3 linked regions of the Schizosaccharomyces pombe genome follow. The protein of the gene in region 3 interacts with the protein of the main gene of each other region in a pairwise test. Each region holds a gene or a part of one and is shown on either strand. Other genes may lie near its edges.

Region 1 (5,972 bases), on a different chromosome or scaffold from region 3:
AAGTTATTTCAAAGAAATCACAAAGTCAAAAAGGACTTTATTTGCTCGCAAATATTACGACAATTACTGGGAGAATGCTTGATTGAATGGGACGTACTGTTTATGCTACCCCTGCCTTTGTCCCGTGTAACACAAAGTGGGAAGAGTAACAAAGAAACGAAGTAAGCCAAGTAAACAAAGAATCTCAACAGCAGCTTTCAGTGGCGAAAACAAAGCGTTGAAAACAAAGGGAATCAACGAAATTTATAGACCTACGATGAAAATTTCAGTAGCCTTTACTGTTAGGCATTTACTGTGAACGTTTTTGCAATGCCCCTGAGGGGCTAGCTCGAGAAGGGTTTGTAAAACAAAGAAACTTTAAAATAGGAACAAAGAAATCGGTCGGCTTTCGTTACTCTATCTAAAGTTATGATGCGATGTCAGTAAGCTCTAATATAAGAGGACGATAATGGAAAAAAAATCCCATAAAAAGCGGGACAACTGATCCAATTTGGACAGATTGAAAGCCAACGCGACTCGCGTTAGATAGAGTAAATAGCGAGAAACGCTAAATGCATTTTCTTTTATGGTGTTTGCTTTGTCTACTGAAGCAAAAGGCTATTTATTCAAATCAGTGGTAATTAGTGTATAGCTTGTAAAGGTAAGTTAGTCCTTTTGAAAGTTTGAAAAAGATGATAGATAAAAAACAACGTTGTATCCATCCCGAAAAACATGGACAAGTCAAAGAAATCACATTTTTTATTTGCCTTCATTAGTGTAGTAATCTCCACCTTGCTGTATAATTCGGTAAGGATTTCTTTTGTTATTTACGCGTGCTTTTTTCCATACATCTTTTTTCGCCAATGCAAAACCCTCTTTTAACAGTGTTTCTTCTTTCAACCCTTATTCAGCGCATGCGTCTCCTATATTTGCGCGTTTTACACAGAGGTCGTTTGACATCCAGATTGTTCTCTGGCATGAAAGATAACTACATCATTTAATATTAGCAACTTGCTCACTTTCTTTTCTTTTCACATAAACTATAAAGCTGTTCGGCAATTAAAATTCCCCACTGAAATCCAATTAGCCAACGATCAAACTAGATCGCATTTATTGAGTGATTTGAAAACAATGCTTTATGCGCAAAAGTGGAGAAGGTAAATGTAGACAACCTCACGTTTTTGTTTATAAACATTAGTAAACGCCGCATTCGATTTTAATGTATCACGTATAAATCGGTAAATATGTGTGTACCACGGTTGTAGAAGTGCTCGAAGACAAGTAAGAAGGAAGCATTAATAACTTTTGGCAATTAAAAAGAGGTTGGGAATTCAGAACAAAAAAAGAGTAAAAGCGATATATTTATTCTATTCCAAAAGATTTGTATGCATGTATAAGAGATTTTAAGGCTGATGATGGTTTTTGATTATACTTTGGGTTTACATTATTTTTGTTTTGTTCTGTTTTGTTTGTTTTGTTTTGCTTTCGTATACACTCTATTTTTTTTTAAACGTAAAATGATCATTAGCGATGTTGCTTCAGTAAAGCGAGAGTCAGTGAACAATGGTTAGATTAAAGCTTTGCTGAGTAAATATTTTTTGGCTTTCTTATTAAAGGTCTTATAAGAAACATATGTGTATTTTTTGTTTTATTGCTTAGCCAGTTTACTATTTTTGGGACAATGCGTTTCGTAAACGTTTATGATGTTTGATGTACGTGACGAATTGTTCAAAAGTTAAATTTTGAGGTTTAAAAAAAATGAAGGCCTGAGAAACCGCTTCTATCTCTATGGTTGTTTATATCACCAACAAATGTCAATTGAGAATTTGAGGAAAGAACAGAAACCTAAGAGGAATCTTGTTCTTAAAGGATGAAAAATCAACATGACAATTCCTTCATTTTATACATCTTGGAAGCGAAACACAAGAAGGGGTGAAAGGAAGTTGAAGAGCTTGAAAATGTCAGTCAGCAAAGGAATTCCACAATTTTTTTGATAAGTGACGTGAAAGAAACCTTTTGAGTTTGGTTTCAATGCTTCATGCTTCTCGAGAAAAGAGGCGGTCTTGGGTTTTTATAATTTTGTGTTTGAAGGTCCCATTTGATATTTGGAATGTTGCTGCAGTGAAACCTAACTGTTTACAAGTATTTTTATTTTTATTCATAAATGTCTCGTAAGCTAAGTCTCACCTTTTCTCTTATGCAAACAGGAGGTTATTTGATTATAGTTATCGAATAAATGGATGATTGATCCATGTATAAAATGATATTGTTAATGGTATTGATATCTTGTTTTAAAACATGTTTGTTACTTATAGAAGCACTATGTGTTGAAGCCAAGTCGATAAACTTTTAAAAATTAGGAAGTGTTCCATGAATAAAATATTTTAACATTAAAAAGAGCGAATGACTATTTACCCATAAAAACTGATGGATAAAATGCTACAAGACCAAACCAAGCATATTTTATTTATTTTGGAAATAAAACTAGGAAACTGTTTATACAATTAACAAATATAATTCTAATGCTCCTCTGTAGAAGAGGTTCTTTTAGCGTAGTAGCTAAATTTACTCTTTTGATGTTGTGAATAAGACAAGACGATATGATTTCGTTCTCTTTCACATACCAAAGTAAAAGGAGGTAAATTGAGTGTATTAAAACAGTTACGTTCTACACACATCACATTGATATTTTACCTAAATTTTGAAGAAAAACATTTTTTCTGGAATAAACGTTGGTTTAGAAGGTTGAAAAAATGAACACATCAGCTAGATTACTGGCGTTAGTCTCGAAATCAAAAAACAACTGGATTCTTCAACAAGGAGATACAAAACTATTTAAAAGCTTTCGTTTTAAAAACTTCATTGAAGCTTGGGGATTTATGAGCTGTGTCGCATTGCGTGCACAACAGCTAAATCATCATCCCGAATGGACTAATGTATACAATAAAGTGGATATTACGTTGACAACTCACGATACAAAGGGACTTACAGAAAAAGATTTAAAGCTGGCAGAATTTATTGATACACTTGCAAAGGATAACTGAAAGCTGCAACCAAGAGGGTAGTAGCGGAAAACTATCTTGAGACACAGATTGCCAGAAATTATTCTTAATATTTTGAATTAATTTAGTGTTTAGTGATGTGGTGTTTGAAAGGATAAGAATTTATATCATAAACTCATTAATCACCATTCAGCCAACTGGTCAAGTTGTTGAACATGTTTTGTCAGATGCTGCATAATAGCTTGCCTGTATTCTGGAATAGAACTTCTGCTGGAAGCAATTCTGGATATTGCAATTCTACTTGCCCTTTCATTTCTTTCTTGCTCGGCCTCTTCACCACCTATAACATCTCGATAATTCCAAAATTCAATGGCTTTTGAAGCTTCAGGGAGTAGAAGTGGTTTCTTGGCGAGAGGTTTTGGGTTGCCAGACATGGAGAGTCTTTGAAAGACGTTTCCAAAAGTTCGATAACTTTTGGACTGACCAGTACCAGCAAACGGATCCATATGACCTCGAAACGTTTTAATATACAAAAGTAAAAAAAACCCCCGTGAGTACTAAGAGACAATGACTTCAATCATTGATTTGTTCTTCTTTAAAAGAGAACCGTTTAAATATGAAAATTGTAATCTCTTTTGTATTTAAGCAGTAAGTGAAGAGGTTTGGACAAGTGATTAGGAAATTTCACCGATTTTCTTGTTTATTTACTATCTTGTGTGCGTAGTTGAACAAAACTCCTTGCCATCGTTAGAAAGCAATGCTTGTGGTATAAGAATGTGGAGTGTGTTATTAAAATAAAATAGTGAAGTCACCTTTTGTCTCCTAATATCTTAGTGAACTTTAACGTTGATGAACGATTCAATAACTGTAATGCTAAGAAGGATACATTGAGTTTCTCATATTTTTTTTTATTTGAAAAGAATTTTCATTATTATTATTTTTAATGATGCACCTAGTTATTGCAATCGCTATAGACTTTAAACTTTGTATTGAAAGAATTTGTCAAAATATTGGCAGTTGGTTATCAAAAAAAATAAATGTAAGGTATATGAAAATTAGGATGTTTTCATACTCACGAAAAATCATTTCTGGTAGATAAATCACTTAAATATATCACGATTACTTATTTTTAGTTATTTTACCTTTGAAATGTAAGACTGTATTACTTAAGTTTTTTCTTAGTATAATATGTGAACATACATATTGTCAGCGTACATCCTCATTCACCCTCAAACCTACAACGAAGTATTCTAACATGCTAAGGACTACTAGCCGGACATTTTCTAGGGCTTTGTCTTCTTCTAACTTTAAAATAAATTGTGGAAGAAGGCATTGGTTTAGTGTTTTGACGTTGCTTGAGCATCAGGGAGGGAACTTGTCTCCAGCATCCTTGTCAGCAGTAGAAGCAGCAAAGCGTACCGGTGGGGATGTTTTTGGATTTGTAATCGGTAAGGATTCTTCTCAAATTTCTCAAAAGGTAGCAAAATCGGTGAACGATTTGAAAAAGGTTATCTACGTTGAGAATCCGTCATATGAGCATAACATTCCCGATCAAATAGCCAATGTTCTTTTTGAAAATGTTAAGAAAAATGAAATTAGTCATGTTTTTTCTGCTCATTCAACTGTTGGTAAAGGGGTGATGCCTCGTTTGGCTGCTATGTTTGATGTGATGCAGATTAGTGACATTATTGGTGTGGTTTCTGCTGACACATTCGTTCGTCCGACATACGCGGGAAACGTAAACGTTACTGTGTCTACAAAGGATCCTATTAAAATCGTCACCGTTCGTGCATCTGCATTTGACGCCGCTCCTTCAAGTGGTGAAGGAGCAGCCACTGTTGTTGAAGGTATTGATCCAAAACCAGCTGCTCTACAAGAATGGGTTAGTGAGAATATTATAAAGAATGCTAGGCCTGATTTGTCTTCTGCCGAAAGAGTTGTTGCTGGTGGTCGACCTTTGAAAGACAAAGAGACATTTGAACGCATCCTTACACCTTTGGCTGACAAATTGGGTGCAGCAATTGGTGCTACACGTGTTGCCGTGGATTCTGGCTATGCTGATAATTCTTTACAAATAGGTCAAACTGGAAAAATCATCGCCCCAAAGCTTTATATTGCTGTTGGAATTGATGGTGCTATTCAGCATCTTGCCGGAATCAAAGATAGCAAAGTCATTGCTGCTATAAATCGCGATGAAAATGCTCCTATCTTTCAAACAGCAGATGTGGGAATTGTAGGTGACTTATTTGAAATCGTCCCGGAGCTTACTGAAAAACTTTGAAAATCATGTTGAGGAATGATTCCTTATTTTTCATAATATCACATTTATTTCAAATTTCACATCTTTTTAGAAGTTAATAAAATACACGTTTATTTAACTGGGTACTCGTAATAAATTAAGGAAATTTTTGATGTAATATTTAATTATATACCAGTGAAACAACTCTGAAGTCGTTTTATACATACATTTATGAAGCCACCTCAGCAAAGCTATCGTAGGTTGATTATCAAACATTTCAACGTATGAGAAAGAAAGGGATTTTTTTAGCGGTCTAGATATTTAACCAGAGATAAATGATAGAAACATGGAAAACATAGAATACGCATACACTCTCAGCAATACTTCAATGTCATCACAAAGCAAATCTATTAAAAGAAAATAAAATGCAAAGGCCGATTGATATTGCCAATAATTTTAAATTCTCTGACAAAAATAAGGGTGCGAAAAGAGAATATTTTCATAATATTTAAAACCCACGAGAAGCACCGCGGCCTCTGCCTCTAGTTCCACGGCCACGTCCACGTCCACGACCTCGTACTACCTCTTTCTTCTTTTGTTTTGGCTTTGTGCTATCATCAATTAAAAGGGTATCAAGTGGTAACGAGTCTGGGAGGATGTAGTAGCGTATGTTATTTCCACGAATTGACAGAGTTTCTACAGGCACTGGCTCTCTACCTTTGACAGTCATTTTAACAGCTTTTAAATGGGTA
Region 2 (6,466 bases), on a different chromosome or scaffold from region 3:
CTAAATTCTCCCATAATTCATAATCATATTTTTTTAAACGTTCAGTAAATTTAGACATAAGAAAGTGAATGCCATGATCCGAATCATGATCCAGAGTTTTTTCATACAAATCACGAACTTGAACCATCATTTGAGTAAATAAAAAAAATGCATCGCATTCACATAAATAATAATTTTCATAAGTAGGATCCGTGGCTAACACATAATACAAAGGAGCTAGAATCTCGTTCATGCCTTGTACATATCCAATGCCCGGATTGAGTTTCGCATAAATAAATAAAATCCTTTCAGCCGCTTCTCGATGTAAGCCTAACTTGTTTTCTCCAGCTATTGCTTCAGCATTTATAGTTCTTTTTGAATCCATGCTTTGTCGAGGAGTACTGAGAGCTGTTGTAGATGAACTAGTCGATTCATTTTCAAGACGATAAATTCGACCTTGTAGCACAAGATGACATTCTTCTTGAAATTTGGAAAAGTCAATCGTTGATAAATGGACCGGTGTTTCTTGGCTTTGATCAATTGAAGTTATTTTGGTATAGTTGAGTTTCTGTCCAACTTCTTCAACTTTATCGTCTTCTGTGTTTACACTAATGTTCTCACTGACATTGTTGACTGAAGGTTTCTTGTTGATCTCAGATTTTCCTTGAAAGAACGATAAATCGGGGAGAGTCCGACGAATATCTTTATCAATTTGTTCAAGTATTTGATTGTCATCGAAATATTCCTTCCATTTTGAATCATCACTAGTATTTAAAGGATGGTCACTGTTTTCGCCTGATTCCTCGTGTAGAGTTAGTTTCCTCCAAGGATCAATAAGAAGCTCTTGAACGAAAGATGTATAAGTTTTTCGATGTTTTTCTAGAACTGATTGCCAGTTTGATCTATCGGTAGGAAGGAACTCAAGCATCAACATCCAAGCTTTTGCCCTAAGTGAATATTCATCAGGAATTCCTTGAATACAAAGCGAGCATAAACCAGGGAGAGAAATTGGCTCTTCCGAATTTAAAATGTCTTTAAATTTTTCAATGCGTTGCTTATAGTCCATAATAAACTAGAAGCGATTCAAATAAGATATTATGTAGTTTGACTATATCCAATTTAGTTATATTATCATATATAAAATATTACTGTTGAAAATTAAATATATGAAGAAAAGGAGAGCGCAATTGGTGTGTTCAGTAGCCTGTTTCACACGTGGATGATGGAACTAAGTTAGCTACTAAAATTGAATGCAAGTTTAAGAACCGACTAAATTTTCTGACTTATTTTTTATACTAATTTCCTTCTTAACAATACTTCCCTAATCAAATACTGTAGGAAAGTACAGAGTAATGAACGTCCTTAGTAGATGTACAGTATAGGTAAGATTGATGTAGGTGCAACATACAGACCAGGAAAGAAATATTTGGTTTAAACAGCACCTAGAACGAGCAATTAATAATAATTGGATATTTATTAAATAAATGCACCGTTTTCTAATGTATGTATGTGAGAAATTAGCCTTGAGATTGGCTCCAGTTTTGATTCTATCTATAATACAAATAAAAGAAGAAAGAGTGGATATGCAATTTATATTAGGTTGTATATCGAACTGTTATGATGTATAAATATACGAAAATTGGTAGATAATGTATAACCATAAAAGAAGGCTTAATTAATGGAAATCAAAAGAATTCGGGTTGTATTCATGAAACTGGGGTCATCAATATGAAACTAAATTAATCATGAGAATACAGAAGTGGTTTGGATAAAGGAAACGGCATCAATACATTAGCAATACTCTATCAAAAAAAAAAAAAAAATTATGGAGATTGTTTTTATCAAAAATGAAAGCGCAGATCATGATTTTTGCTCCAAATTCAGTTGATCCATTGCAATTACCAAGTCCTCGCTCATTTGTATCAACTGTTGTCGTTCCTCCCTTTCGACCCGGAGCTCTTCTTGAAGCGCTTGCAGTTGTAAACGAAGTGTTTCCAAATCACCTGTCTGTTGTGATTGTTGTTGCATTAGTAACTTATCACTCTTCGCCATATCAGCTTTAAAATTGTTCAAAAAATCTGACATATCTTGGCGCTCTTGAATGGCTTTCTCCAGCTGTTTTTGGAGAGTCTGATTGTCTGCTTTCAATGCTCGCCTTTCTTCCTCCCAGTTACTGTTGGATATTTTTGGAGCATTAGGAGCAGTACCGATTTGATTTTGAAGCTCCTGTATAGTTGCCTCGTATTTTCGAGCATAATTGGCTTTGAAAGCATTAATTTTCTGAGTGTGCTTGGCTGAGTACTGAGCATGTAAATCTTCAGCAACTTTTTCCATGCGTTCTTGAATTAACTTGTCAACTTCCTCTTGAGTATATTTACCTCTCTGAAGAGCTAATGTCTCTTCATTATGCCCTTCAACAAGTCTCATGTTGGTATCCTTTGTGGAGGGACTAGTCGATGCTTTTCCAGATCTAAGTTGCTGAAGTTGGTCATTAACGGCAATCAATTGTCCCGAAACATTGACGATTGTATTTTGGAGTACGGAAATTTCATGATAAGTGCCAGCAAGTTTGGCTTTGTAGCCCTCTATTTCAGCTTCGTATTTCGCTTGCTGCTTTTGAGTGGAATTAATTGGGTATTGAGTAGGTATATCGGCCTGTGAAGTTGATGGTGTAGCAGAGTTGCGAATGTTGTCTTTCAAATGCACTGGTGGGTTCAACGGCGCCGTATTAGTTTGACGTGGGAAGCTTCCGTTTGAAAGCACTGGGGGCCTAGAACTAGCTGATGTTTGCAAAGATGATGAATGACTGTATGCAAAATTAGATGGAGCGGTATTTAAAGAGCCTCGTTGGGAGGCCGCATTGGACGATGAAAATAAAGAAGGATTCTTCGGCGTCAAAATAGATTCTACATTTCTTTTTCTATGCTTAAATTCTGGCGTTTTATGCTGTGACAAAGGATGGGATATGGGATGCATCGGTCTAGGGGTTCCTGAAAAATCAAAAGATTTATTCAACTCTAAGGCTTGTAGTCGATCGCTTACTCGCTTATTAAGAGTATCCTTTAAATTCAGCTGTGGATTGGGTTTAGAAGTTAACTTAGGGAATAATTTAGGGGCAGGCATGGATTCCTCTGAACTTCGTTGAGCTGGAGGAATCAATGATTCTGAAGAGGCACCTTGCCTTTTTTCATGAAAACCCGTATGATCAGTTTCATTTGTCCCAATACTAGATGAGGAGGGAGACCTCCTACTGTAATCTGTAGAGCTCGAAACGATATCACTCATTTTCGGTTATGACTTTTTAAAATCGTCAAACGATATAAAGAACTAACAGATATATGAAATATAAATACACAAGAAAATCCTTTTTCAAATATTTTACAGCTGGTATTATCGTTTCAAAGTTAACGATCAGTAGCTAACTTTTATTTTTACTTTTTGAAAACTGGTCAGATGTCCGCCTACGTAGAACAATGGTTCAATAACAAACTTGAGTCATACAATGCCCAATAAATAACCCCTTATTGCCCTCAATTCTTCGTCTTGATTCAACACTAGGCGTACAATGGTGGTGTAAATAAAAGGCACATACATACTGGTTTACACTGAGTAAGGAGAGAGTGGGAAGAGTTCACCGAGCTCTCGGTGAATTTTCGGTAGCTTGTTCTCCGAAGCCTTTGTAATAACACCAAAGTATCCTACTGTAAACACTAAACAATTTGCAAGTCAACCTTTGATATTATGTGTGCCAAATTTTAGTATGAAGAAAAATGAAAAGGCAAACGTATGTATATGAAAAGAGGGAAATCGTGATTATCTAATGAATGGCAGATATCGGCCTCATACAATGACCTAATTGCAACAATTTGCAATCCTCGTATCTCTGATGTCGGTACATATCGCATTGAGAGTGTTGTCGGTGAAGGTACGATACTTTTGTGTTATTGTGAACGCTCAATACTGGACGGCTATCTAACAAGCATGGGTTGTAGGCAGCTTTGGAAAAGTTTATTTGGCAGCTCATTTACTGACAAATACAAAGGTATGGGTTATTCAAAGATTACTATGTCTCTAAGTTATAAAAAGAAGAATAAACGGCTCGTAAATTGCGAATATTGACCGTTCCAAAGTCGGTTGATTACATTATGAGAATGATAAACGTTTTATTCATCAATAAATTGATTGTACCTTGCTAACATTTTTATTAAAGGTTGTCCTGAAATCATCTTGCAGGAAACAAGCGATTATCCTTGCTCGAGAAATTCATCATCATCGGCGTCTTCTTCATCCAAACATCACGAGGCTTTATGAAGTAGTATGCACCGAAGACCGAATTTATCTTGCCATGGAGTATTGTCCAAATGGTGAATTGTATGACTGGGTAGCGAGAGAAAAAAGGCTGGATGAAAAGACCACTTGCCGTATCATGTGGCAGCTATGCTGTGCTATTCAGTATTTACATAGACAAGGCTGTGTTCACCGTGACCTTAAACTCGAAAATATTTTTCTAGATAAAGCCTACAATGTTAAGCTTGGAGACTTTGGGTTTTCTAGAGATTCTGATTGTTCCCGTAGAACATTTATGAACACACGTTGTGGTACAGTTGCTTATTGTGCTCCGGAGCTAGTACAGGGCCATAAATATATTGGTGAATGCGTTGATATATGGTCTCTGGGTATAATTATGTACGCTCTCTTAATAGGAAGGCTCCCGTTCGACGAGGACGATGTATCTTTAACTGAGCAAAAAATTATCAATGAATGTCCTCAATATCCTGAAACACTCTCCAAAAACTCTTCAAGCTTGTTGAAATCCCTCCTTTGCAAGGATTACCGACTTCGACCCTCTATCGATCAAATCATCTCTCACCCCTATTTCAAGGAAAATGGATATCATTCATCTTCTATTCGAGACCCAAGGCCTTCCTCGAAAGCAGAGGAAAAAGTTCGTAAAAGGCTTGAATTTGTTGGTGTTGACATGGATCAACTTAATGCCAGCATCTCACAACAGCGCTGTGACATGTTCTATGGATGGTGGCTTTTATTACTAGAAAAAGAAATGCGTAAGGAAAACAAAAAAAAGAAAGGTTTGTTTCATTTACATAAAGGTTCATCTTCGGCTGTACACATAGCTCCAGCAACTCCATCATTAAAAACCGCTCAAGTTTCTGTTATGTCCAACAATCAGGATTCTTTAAAAAGTCGGCATACATCGTCAGATTCAAGTAATTCTTTGCTTTCTACATTTCGTAGTTGGTTATTCGATCCTAAACAAAAGCATACTGCTGATACGTTAAGCTCATCAGCAATTAGACCAAGAACACCTAGTCCTTCGGCTGAAAACTATTTAACTCAAGAAAATTTTGATTCCGATAATTTATCTGAGTCTTTAGACAATTCAGTTGAGAACCTTACCGTGTTTCCTTCGATTAACAGTTTTGGAAGAAGACACTCAAATCTTCCTCAAACAACGCACGTTGATACAGGTGAGCAAAACACACCATTCACTCCTCCTCTTTTAAAAACGGTAAACCTCGACGGTAATAAAGACTTTACCTTCCCCTCGAACTCTCAAAATAGCCCTTCTAAAAGTTCGAACCTCTCAATTAATATTGATATTCCACCTTCTCCTCTGCAAAATACTGTCATATCTCCCCAGCCGACTCGACGATCACGAACTCCCATACGCAGCTTGTCTGGGCGTTCTTCCGTTGCTTCTTCGAGGAATTCATCCCGTACTAGATCCTATTCAAACGTCTCTTCTGCATCTTCAAATTCTTTAATTTCTATTATTTCATCTAAACCTTCCAGTTCGACCGTTCAAAGGCAAACACCTTTTCATTCTCCTTTTGAACGATTGCACAAAAGTTTCCATTTTCCTTCCGGAGAGCCATTTAACACTCGTATAAATGCTACTGCAATTTTTACAGTTGGTTCTGGTAGAAAAAACCCGCAATCATCTTCCTCTCTGATGTTTAATCAAAGCTCAGTCAAAGAGGAAGAGGAGCCGGAAGAAACCAGTTTTTCAGACTCTTCAAAACATTTCACAGACTTGCTCTGAAGCTTAAGTTTATTACACGATTACTAAGCTACGTGGTGTGTATAATTTGAATTATTAACTTATTTTGCTTTAATAAAGTGTTCTCTTAAATAATTTAATCAAACTTTTAATCTCTAGTAGTAATGACCTTGTTCCTTAACTTATCCCGCTTGTACCACACTAAATCATAATCTGTCAATTTTTTTTATGCTACATCTTTTTTCATTCGCTTTTTCCAAAGGATGAGGATTGATTGATTTGAAGTTGTTTGTCAGTACCTCCCGTAACAATACCAATGGATTTATTCCAATCAACAGCGAAAAGTTTATCCCACTGAGAGCCTGTTTTTTCTGCTCTAGAAATTGTGTAAATACTGCCGGATGTAGCACGGACATCCCAAACACGACAAGTGTTATCGTGAGAGACGGATGCAAACATATAGGGATT
Region 3 (7,152 bases):
AAGTTTTATGAGATTTTGTTGAATCTCGGGTGGGAGAAACGGGAAGAATGGAATTATCCTCGGTCAAGTCTTCAGGGTCAATGTTCGACGTAGATAAAAAAGACAGTTTAGTAGGAGATAAGCTATTTGGGTCTTTCCATGTAAAAAACACACAGTCCGCACGACGGCGTTTGTGCTCGGTGTAAGGGTCATCATCCGGTTCCCAATCATGAAGATTAATATCACAATATAAGCAATGAGCTGCATCTTTAGCATCAGCAGTTGGATTGTATACAAAACCAGAAGCAGCCATTACACTCGGCTCACAGTGATAATCAGGGCGATTGGTATACGGCCATACTTTATCAACAAAAGTTTGTTCTCGACATTTTGTGAGAGCTGCAGCTTGGGGGTTCTGGTTTGGATTGTTTTTTGAGGATAAAATATATGCCCATGGACAGCTGGGGCTATGAGTAATATGCTCTTTCAATGGATCATCATCATCCTCCCAGTCATAAAATGACTTGGTACACATATAGCATGTAACATTATCAAGTCTTTCTTCAGAATTAGATTCAGAGATTGGATTGTAATAGAAACCGACAGTAGCAAGCTATTTTCTTGTTAGCAACACAGATGAAAACTCTATCGTCAACATACAGTTTCTGGCGTCGGTTTGGCTCGCGGCCATTTTTTTTTCTGGAAAGTGTCAAGTCGTTTAGAGTAATTACACATTTCCCTTCGAAACCGATTCCATCGGCGTTTAGAAGAAGACGTTATCGGTTTCATTCTGAGCAAGCTTCAACAAGTGAAATTTAGATACCAAATTTCGACTTCCGATCCTTAAAACTATAAAATTAATTTTTTTAAAACTTCTGGTTATTGTCTTTAGACAATATCAGATACTTCCAAATGCATAGGATAGGGAAGGTCGCCTCGCAAGGCGTATATGGGTAATGTTTACTTTTTGTAGATTGCTAGGGCACACGAGTTTACTGTAATTGAACAATGTCGTTATATTGCGTAAAATGTCGTTAAGTAGTATAGCAGACTTTAATAAATGGAAGGTTCACTGGTTACAAATTTTTCGAGATGACTAGGTTTAGATATTATATTGAGTAAGGAAGATTCAATTATTGTCTTTAATGTCAGCCTTATGATCTTTGTTAATAAATTCAAAATTTAACTAGAAGATTTTTGCTAGCACAAAGTAATGTATCATAGTTTGGTACTAATATTGTTACATATAATAATATTAAAGCTCCAACTCTAAAGTATGGAGCATCGTGAAAGAAGAATAAGGCTACATTTTCATGGCTATTCAAAGGAAACTATGCATATCAACAAGACAAATCTGATTTCATTTTCCTCTTTCGATGCGATGGTCAAAGTTATGAATACAATGATGAATCAGCTGTCTCATTAGAAAAAAGTTGAAAAGAGGATGACAAATGCGGTGGAAATATTGAACTTCCTAAAACCTCAAATAAAAGTTAAGCAATAGAGGAAGTACAATCATGAAGACAATGTAAAATAAATTAATTGAATTAGTCCCATGTTGTTTCAAAGGTACAAAACCTGTATCTAGTAGTGGAGCAGCCAAAAGCTACAACTAAATCGACAACAAAGACCAAAACTGTTGAATGATTCCTGTGTTTCGTCAATAAAACAAATAATAAACTCACAAAATAACCACGATCTATAAACCATTCGTTGGTTAGAAAGTGAATGAAAAAAAGTAAACAAAAGTTCGTTTCGACACGCACACTCAGGACGGACTTGAGAAATAATTTAACAAGTACAAGATGTTCAACTTTCCAGCACAATCATTAAACAACAATATAACAAAATGAGAAGAGTGACAACTGCGGAATGTATGTCTAGGTAAACCTCCTAAAATGTAATAATCTCGTCTAATAACAATCGCGCCATACACGTAAAGGTAAATGAAAAAATCGGCATCCTCAATTGCTCAATGAAATAATTTAACGATATTATAAACCACAGGACCACAGCCAAAATCATGAAGCCACTTCGATGTTTATGAAAATGAACAATCTAAAAAAGAACGAAACCTAAACAAGCATAAATGAATAATGTATGTGAAGTATCATTACATAGCCATATCTTCGGCATTAGTCGCCGAAAATTGAAAATCGCCGGCAGGCTCTTGTGTAGTTCCAAATGTAAACGTATCACCGACGGTTTCTGGTTCAAGCTCTTCGATTTCGTCTTCTTCACCGAAAAACTTTTCGATAATATTGTAAGCTTTTTGGTAAATTTCCGAATTAGATGAGTTCTGACATTCGTGGATCAAATCCATACCACCAGCATCCTCAACGTAGACGGCGTATAAATTGATTTTATCAGGGTTATTCGCGCGATCAAGTTCACCCACTCGCAAAATATTTTCAATACCATCTAAAGCAACCTGGATAATCTTGTTATCTTGACAAGCCAGCAAATTACATAAAGGTTTGATTGCGCCTTGCTCTACAAGGTAGCGAATTTGGTCGGGACGACGAGCGCCACCGGATGTGGCATTGGAAATGGCCCAGCAGGCTTCCTTTTGGATTTTAAAGTCAGCGGTCGTAAGGAGATGAATTAAAGGAGGAATAATGTTAGCTTCAATAACATATTGAATTTGAGAAGAATTACCGGCCGTTATATTACTAATTGTCCAACAGGCTTCCTTACGAACGCCATCGCGTGGACTGCTTAACAAAGAAAGTAAAGCACTTAAAGCACCACAATTAATGATGACCTGGGTCTGAACGTCATCTCCTGTAACAATATTTCCTACGGATCGGAGAGCAGGAGTCTGTACTTGAGCGCTAGGATGCATTAAAAGTTCAACAAGCCTACGAGGAATCCCTGCATCAATGATGGCTTGGATCTTCTCATTAGCGCCATCAGATAAATAGGAAATGGCCCAAAGGGCATCAACTAAAACATCTTCGTCTAAGGTATAAATTAATTTCGACAGAACAGGGATAACTTGCGAAATGCTGTTCCAATCGGGTTGTGGATTTTTGCCTCGGCACATATTAGACAGGGTCCAAGTACTATTGCGGAGCATACTAAGACGCCTGTTAGATTCGATTATGTTAAGCAAAGGCTCCAAAACTCCACATTGCAAAACATGATCACGACACATGGGTGAATCACCAGCAATGTTACCTAATGCCCAAACTGCTTGCTCGCGTACATCTTGTTCAGAAGAAGATAAAAGGCTTACAAAAACAGGAACAGCATTTGCTTCTACAACCACGTGTGTTTGATTGGAAGATCCGCTAGCCACATTAGTGAGAGCCCAAGAAGCCTCAAATTTTAATAAATTGTTCTCATGAGATAAAAATTCGACGAAGCGGGGGACAACGCCTGCATCAATAACTTTTTGAATTGGTGGGTTTGTCTCCTTAGACAAAGCCTTTCGAAACTTGGCAGTAGCTTGAATTTGTGCCTCTATGTCATCCGAATACAACGCCTTCAATAAATCAGGTAATTGAAGCTCCAACTCTAAATCATTTTCCTTATCTTGTTCTAATGGAATAGTTTCTTCGGCAGGCTCTTGAACATCAACCAGATTACGACGCTTGTTCAAATTTTCCTCACGTTTTTGTTTACGGATTTCGATTTGCTGGGTTTCACGTCTGCGGCGTAACTCATCAGCCTGAAATGTACCTTTACCTTTGTAATTCTGTCTTCTGTGTTCAGGAATAAAGCGAGAAGATGCACTCATGTTCAATTCCTTTAGTTACTCGTTCTCTAAACGTATGGCGAAGGATACGTCTACACTTGGCTGATTTCCTGTCATGGACCAGTTCATCAATCGTTCGTAATGATTATAGCGAATACTCCAGATAATTCATAAAAAACTATTATATATCTTCTTATTAAAATAAATCTCCTTTATGTATAAATATTTTTATATATGTATATATTTCATTTTTATACTCTTCCATTTAGAGAGCTCGTGAACATTCTCTTAAAAATAGTTAATGCTTCCAGTGTTTATTTCAGTATATCTTTGAAGCTTGCGGGTATTTGGCAATTTTGTGTAGAAAAGAAACTAATATACAGCTTAACAGAATTCTCTAGCCATAAAATACATTTTAAAGACTGCAACTCTTCTTTATGTATTCGCAAAGTGTCTGCAAATTGCATGTGTAAACGAATTTGGTAATGTCAACAACTATGCTTGTTGTGTAGCGCTAAACACTTCCAGTGAAGAATGAAATGATCTTTTTCTTATCTAAAAATTAATTTTGCACTAGATGATTTCGTTTCTTATTCCAAAAAAAATAAGCAATTTGTTTGGGCAATGTTAAAGCTTTTACTATACTAGATAACGGCCTGCATCCTAGTCGAGGTCGCATTTACAGAGCACGGTTAACTTTTCAAGAATAATCCTTTGAATAAATTGAAATTAAAAAACACCATATACTTCATCAGCCATCACTCGTTCTGCTATTATTCAATAAATTGAGATTAATTGGTACTCCATGTAGTGTATTTTAATGCGTAACGTAATGTTTATTAGCAGTGTTGGTGTAGCTCACTATCTAACAACTAGTGTTGCATAGCTTTCAAAGTATGATAAACGAACCAAGGCATCGTTATTATAGCGTATTTGGACGCTATAAAAAATTAAATAAGGAATAGCGATAACTAGTGTGTGGCATAGTGACACGAAGAAAACTTAAAGATTTAATGTTCTTTTACCGAATTGTGATTTTGTACCCTATTTATTTGTGACTGTTTTTTGGGTAAGAAGAGCGTAGGAAATGAGTGCGCGAAATCCTGAAATTTACAAGTTACCACCATGTCGGAACAAGGAGACCAAATTGAACAAGTTGACGTCGTCGAAGAAGTTGAAGTTGAGGCTGCCGCTCCTGAAACTGTCTCCGTTGAGGATGCTTTGAAGGAAGTTTTGAAGCGTGCCCTTGTTCACGACGGTCTTGCCCGTGGTATTCGCGAGGCTTCCAAGGCTCTTGACCGCCGTCAAGCTCACCTTTGCGTTCTTTGCGAGTCCTGTGACCAAGAAGCTTATGTTAAATTGGTTGAGGCTCTTTGCGCTGAATCTGAGACTCCTTTGATCAAGGTTGCCGACCCCAAGGTTTTGGGTGAATGGGCTGGCCTTTGTGTCCTTGACCGTGACGGTAATGCCCGTAAGGTTGTTGGATGCTCTTGTGTTGCTGTTACCGTAAGTTTAAATTTAGCCTGGCGCAGGTGAAAGGCTTTGTTCCTTGTTGATTTTGCATATGATTAACTAACATGTAATTTAGGACTATGGTGAGGATTCCGCTGCTCTTCAAAAGCTTTTGGAAAGCTTCTCTGCCTAAACTATCTAGTGGTAAACGAAGCAATATGAAAGGATTTAAAAAAAATTTATTTTCTACTTCAGAATTCGTGTGTAAATAGGTTTTTGTAAAGTGAAGTCAGAGAGTTGAGTGTAGTTTTGAGTAGCACAAAATAAATCGAAAGCATTCTGGCTATTCAACACCTTATAAAAGGATGGTTGTCGCCTTATTCCTGTGTCAGAAAAGAAATCAGTTTTTTTTCTGACACCTTGCGTATTGATGATAGAGAAAAAAGCATATATTGTTCAACTGCTGCTAAGACTTGAATATTATGCTTACTTTTTTAAAATGATAAAAAACGCTAATGTAAACAAACTTACACTTGAGGCTTATAAAAAAACCATATCCATTAGCTTTTGACAAAGCTTTTTCTTGTCCGATCACTTCAGCATGTATGAATTTGATGAGTTGTTCGATTTTTGCATTTGAGCTAATGAAGGATACAATGTAATTTGAAATTGAACGGCCAACCATTTCCTCAATATAAATCATCAAATCCAACTAGATAAACTTGTGTTAGTAACTCTAATTCTATAAAGTGAAACCTACAAGTTTTGGTTAGCTAGCAGTCATTAAAGGCAGTTTTCACATTTTCCATTTACCAATCTACTCAATTTTTAAAACGCTGCGAGAGATACTGCATCAAATGTTATAGTTCATGTATAAATCCTTACTTTGAATATTTAAAATTATCGTTAATAAAAAAACACGATAAATGAAATACTCTCCTCTTCAAGAAATAATTTGATTATTACTCCTCGAGTGTTGGATTTAAGAGCACTGTTCGTACTAATAGTCATGGGAGTACCTCGATTGGGAAGGTTTTTGGAGCCATTTGGAAAACCAGTATATTTTTCTTCATACCCAGAGGTACCTCTAAATTGCAGTCTCGTTATCGATGGACCTTCTTTTGCTTTTTGGCTTTGGTTTTCCCAAGGAATAGTTTGCTCCGATTTTCAAGGATATCAGAAAGCAGTATTGGATTTCCACCACTTGCTTAGTAGGTTGAGATTCAAAGAAATGTACGAATAAATGAAGAGTTTTTAATTTATACCTCAATTAATTGAAGCTCCTCTTGTGGTTTGCATTATGGACTATCATAATGACCTTTTTTTGACTTATTCACTTTCTAACGCATACAGAGAATACATATTTGATGGTGGACTTCCCTTTTCCAAACACCAGGTTAGAGTCAATAGATATCAGCAAAAGATTAATGATCTACGTTCTGCTTATATAAATCTTTGTGTGCCAATTGCTCAACATGTGCTTATGGGACTTGCTAAAGCCAAGGTAATTGTATGTAACGAAGAAGCAGATAAATATTGTGCATTTCAAGCTAAAAAGCTTGATGCTGTTATTTTAAGTCAAGACTCGGATTTCTTGCTTTATGATATAGACACACCACACTATGGATACATCCCCTTGCAGTCTTTAGATGTTACTTCCAACGGCATTAGTGGAAGAAAATACAGGTTTGATGAAATACAAAAAGATTTCCATTTCGATTTGCATATTCTTGCTGCCTATTTGGGTGTAGAAGGGCATCCTCTCGACCTAGTAATTGATTATCACAACACCTTTGAGCATATTTGCAAAATCTTAGAGAACTCTGTAAAAGATAAATTTATCGAAAAGTTAGTTTCCAAAGAAGAATTGACTCGCGTTCACGCATTCTACTCGCTTAATGACCTCAAGCTAGAAACATCTACTATAAATACATTCATGTGGGGAAGAGTCCAGGAGCTCTTAAATTCACAGCTACAGCCAGCAGAGATATGGTTACCTCAGTTATTGGAATTGCCTAGCA

Evidence for each region.
Region 1: the proteins of cut15 (region 3) and omt2 interact in a two-hybrid assay, tested with the Schizosaccharomyces pombe proteins (2 studies listed by BioGRID).
Region 2: the proteins of cut15 (region 3) and alp7 interact in a two-hybrid assay, tested with the Schizosaccharomyces pombe proteins (one study listed by BioGRID).

The regions. Positions count from the first base shown.
Region 1 is NC_003424.3:4,514,810-4,520,781, forward strand, and holds omt2 (4-alpha-hydroxytetrahydrobiopterin dehydratase), read left to right. Parts: upstream 1-2,638; 5' UTR 2,639-2,732; coding exon 2,733-3,023; 3' UTR 3,024-3,163; coding exon of another isoform or gene 3,164-3,487; 3' UTR 3,488-4,009; downstream 4,010-5,972. Other genes in the region: anaphase-promoting complex subunit Apc14, read right to left, coding at 3,164-3,487; etf1 (electron transfer flavoprotein alpha subunit), read left to right, coding at 4,237-5,262; Sm snRNP core protein Smd1, read right to left, coding at 5,729-5,972. UniProt on the Schizosaccharomyces pombe protein: Has a role in spore wall formation.
Region 2 is NC_003424.3:5,000,932-5,007,397, forward strand, and holds alp7 (kinetochore-associated protein Alp7), read right to left. Parts: upstream 3,555-6,466; 5' UTR 3,265-3,554; coding exon 1,840-3,264; 3' UTR 1,469-1,839; downstream 1-1,468. Other genes in the region: tbc13 (GTPase-activating protein), read right to left, coding at 2-1,045; serine/threonine protein kinase Ppk16, read left to right, coding at 3,740-3,763, 3,811-3,904, 3,972-4,021, 4,190-6,040; ribosome biogenesis protein Ytm1, read right to left, coding at 6,242-6,466. UniProt on the Schizosaccharomyces pombe protein: Required for bipolar spindle formation and proper chromosome segregation. Has an indirect role in connecting the kinetochores and the plus end of pole to chromosome microtubules by targeting alp14 to the spindle pole body.
Region 3 is NC_003421.2:548,381-555,532, forward strand, and holds cut15 (importin alpha family nuclear import signal receptor adaptor Cut15), read right to left. Parts: upstream 3,768-7,152; 5' UTR 3,722-3,767; coding exon 2,093-3,721; 3' UTR 1,175-2,092; downstream 1-1,174. Other genes in the region: survivin Bir1, read right to left, coding at 1-592, 640-768; rps1201 (40S ribosomal protein eS12), read left to right, coding at 4,805-5,185, 5,268-5,324; XP-G family protein ast1, read left to right, coding at 6,141-6,364, 6,485-7,152. UniProt on the Schizosaccharomyces pombe protein: Binds specifically and directly to substrates containing either a simple or bipartite NLS motif. Promotes docking of import substrates to the nuclear envelope. Seems to act as a cytosolic receptor for both simple and bipartite NLS motifs.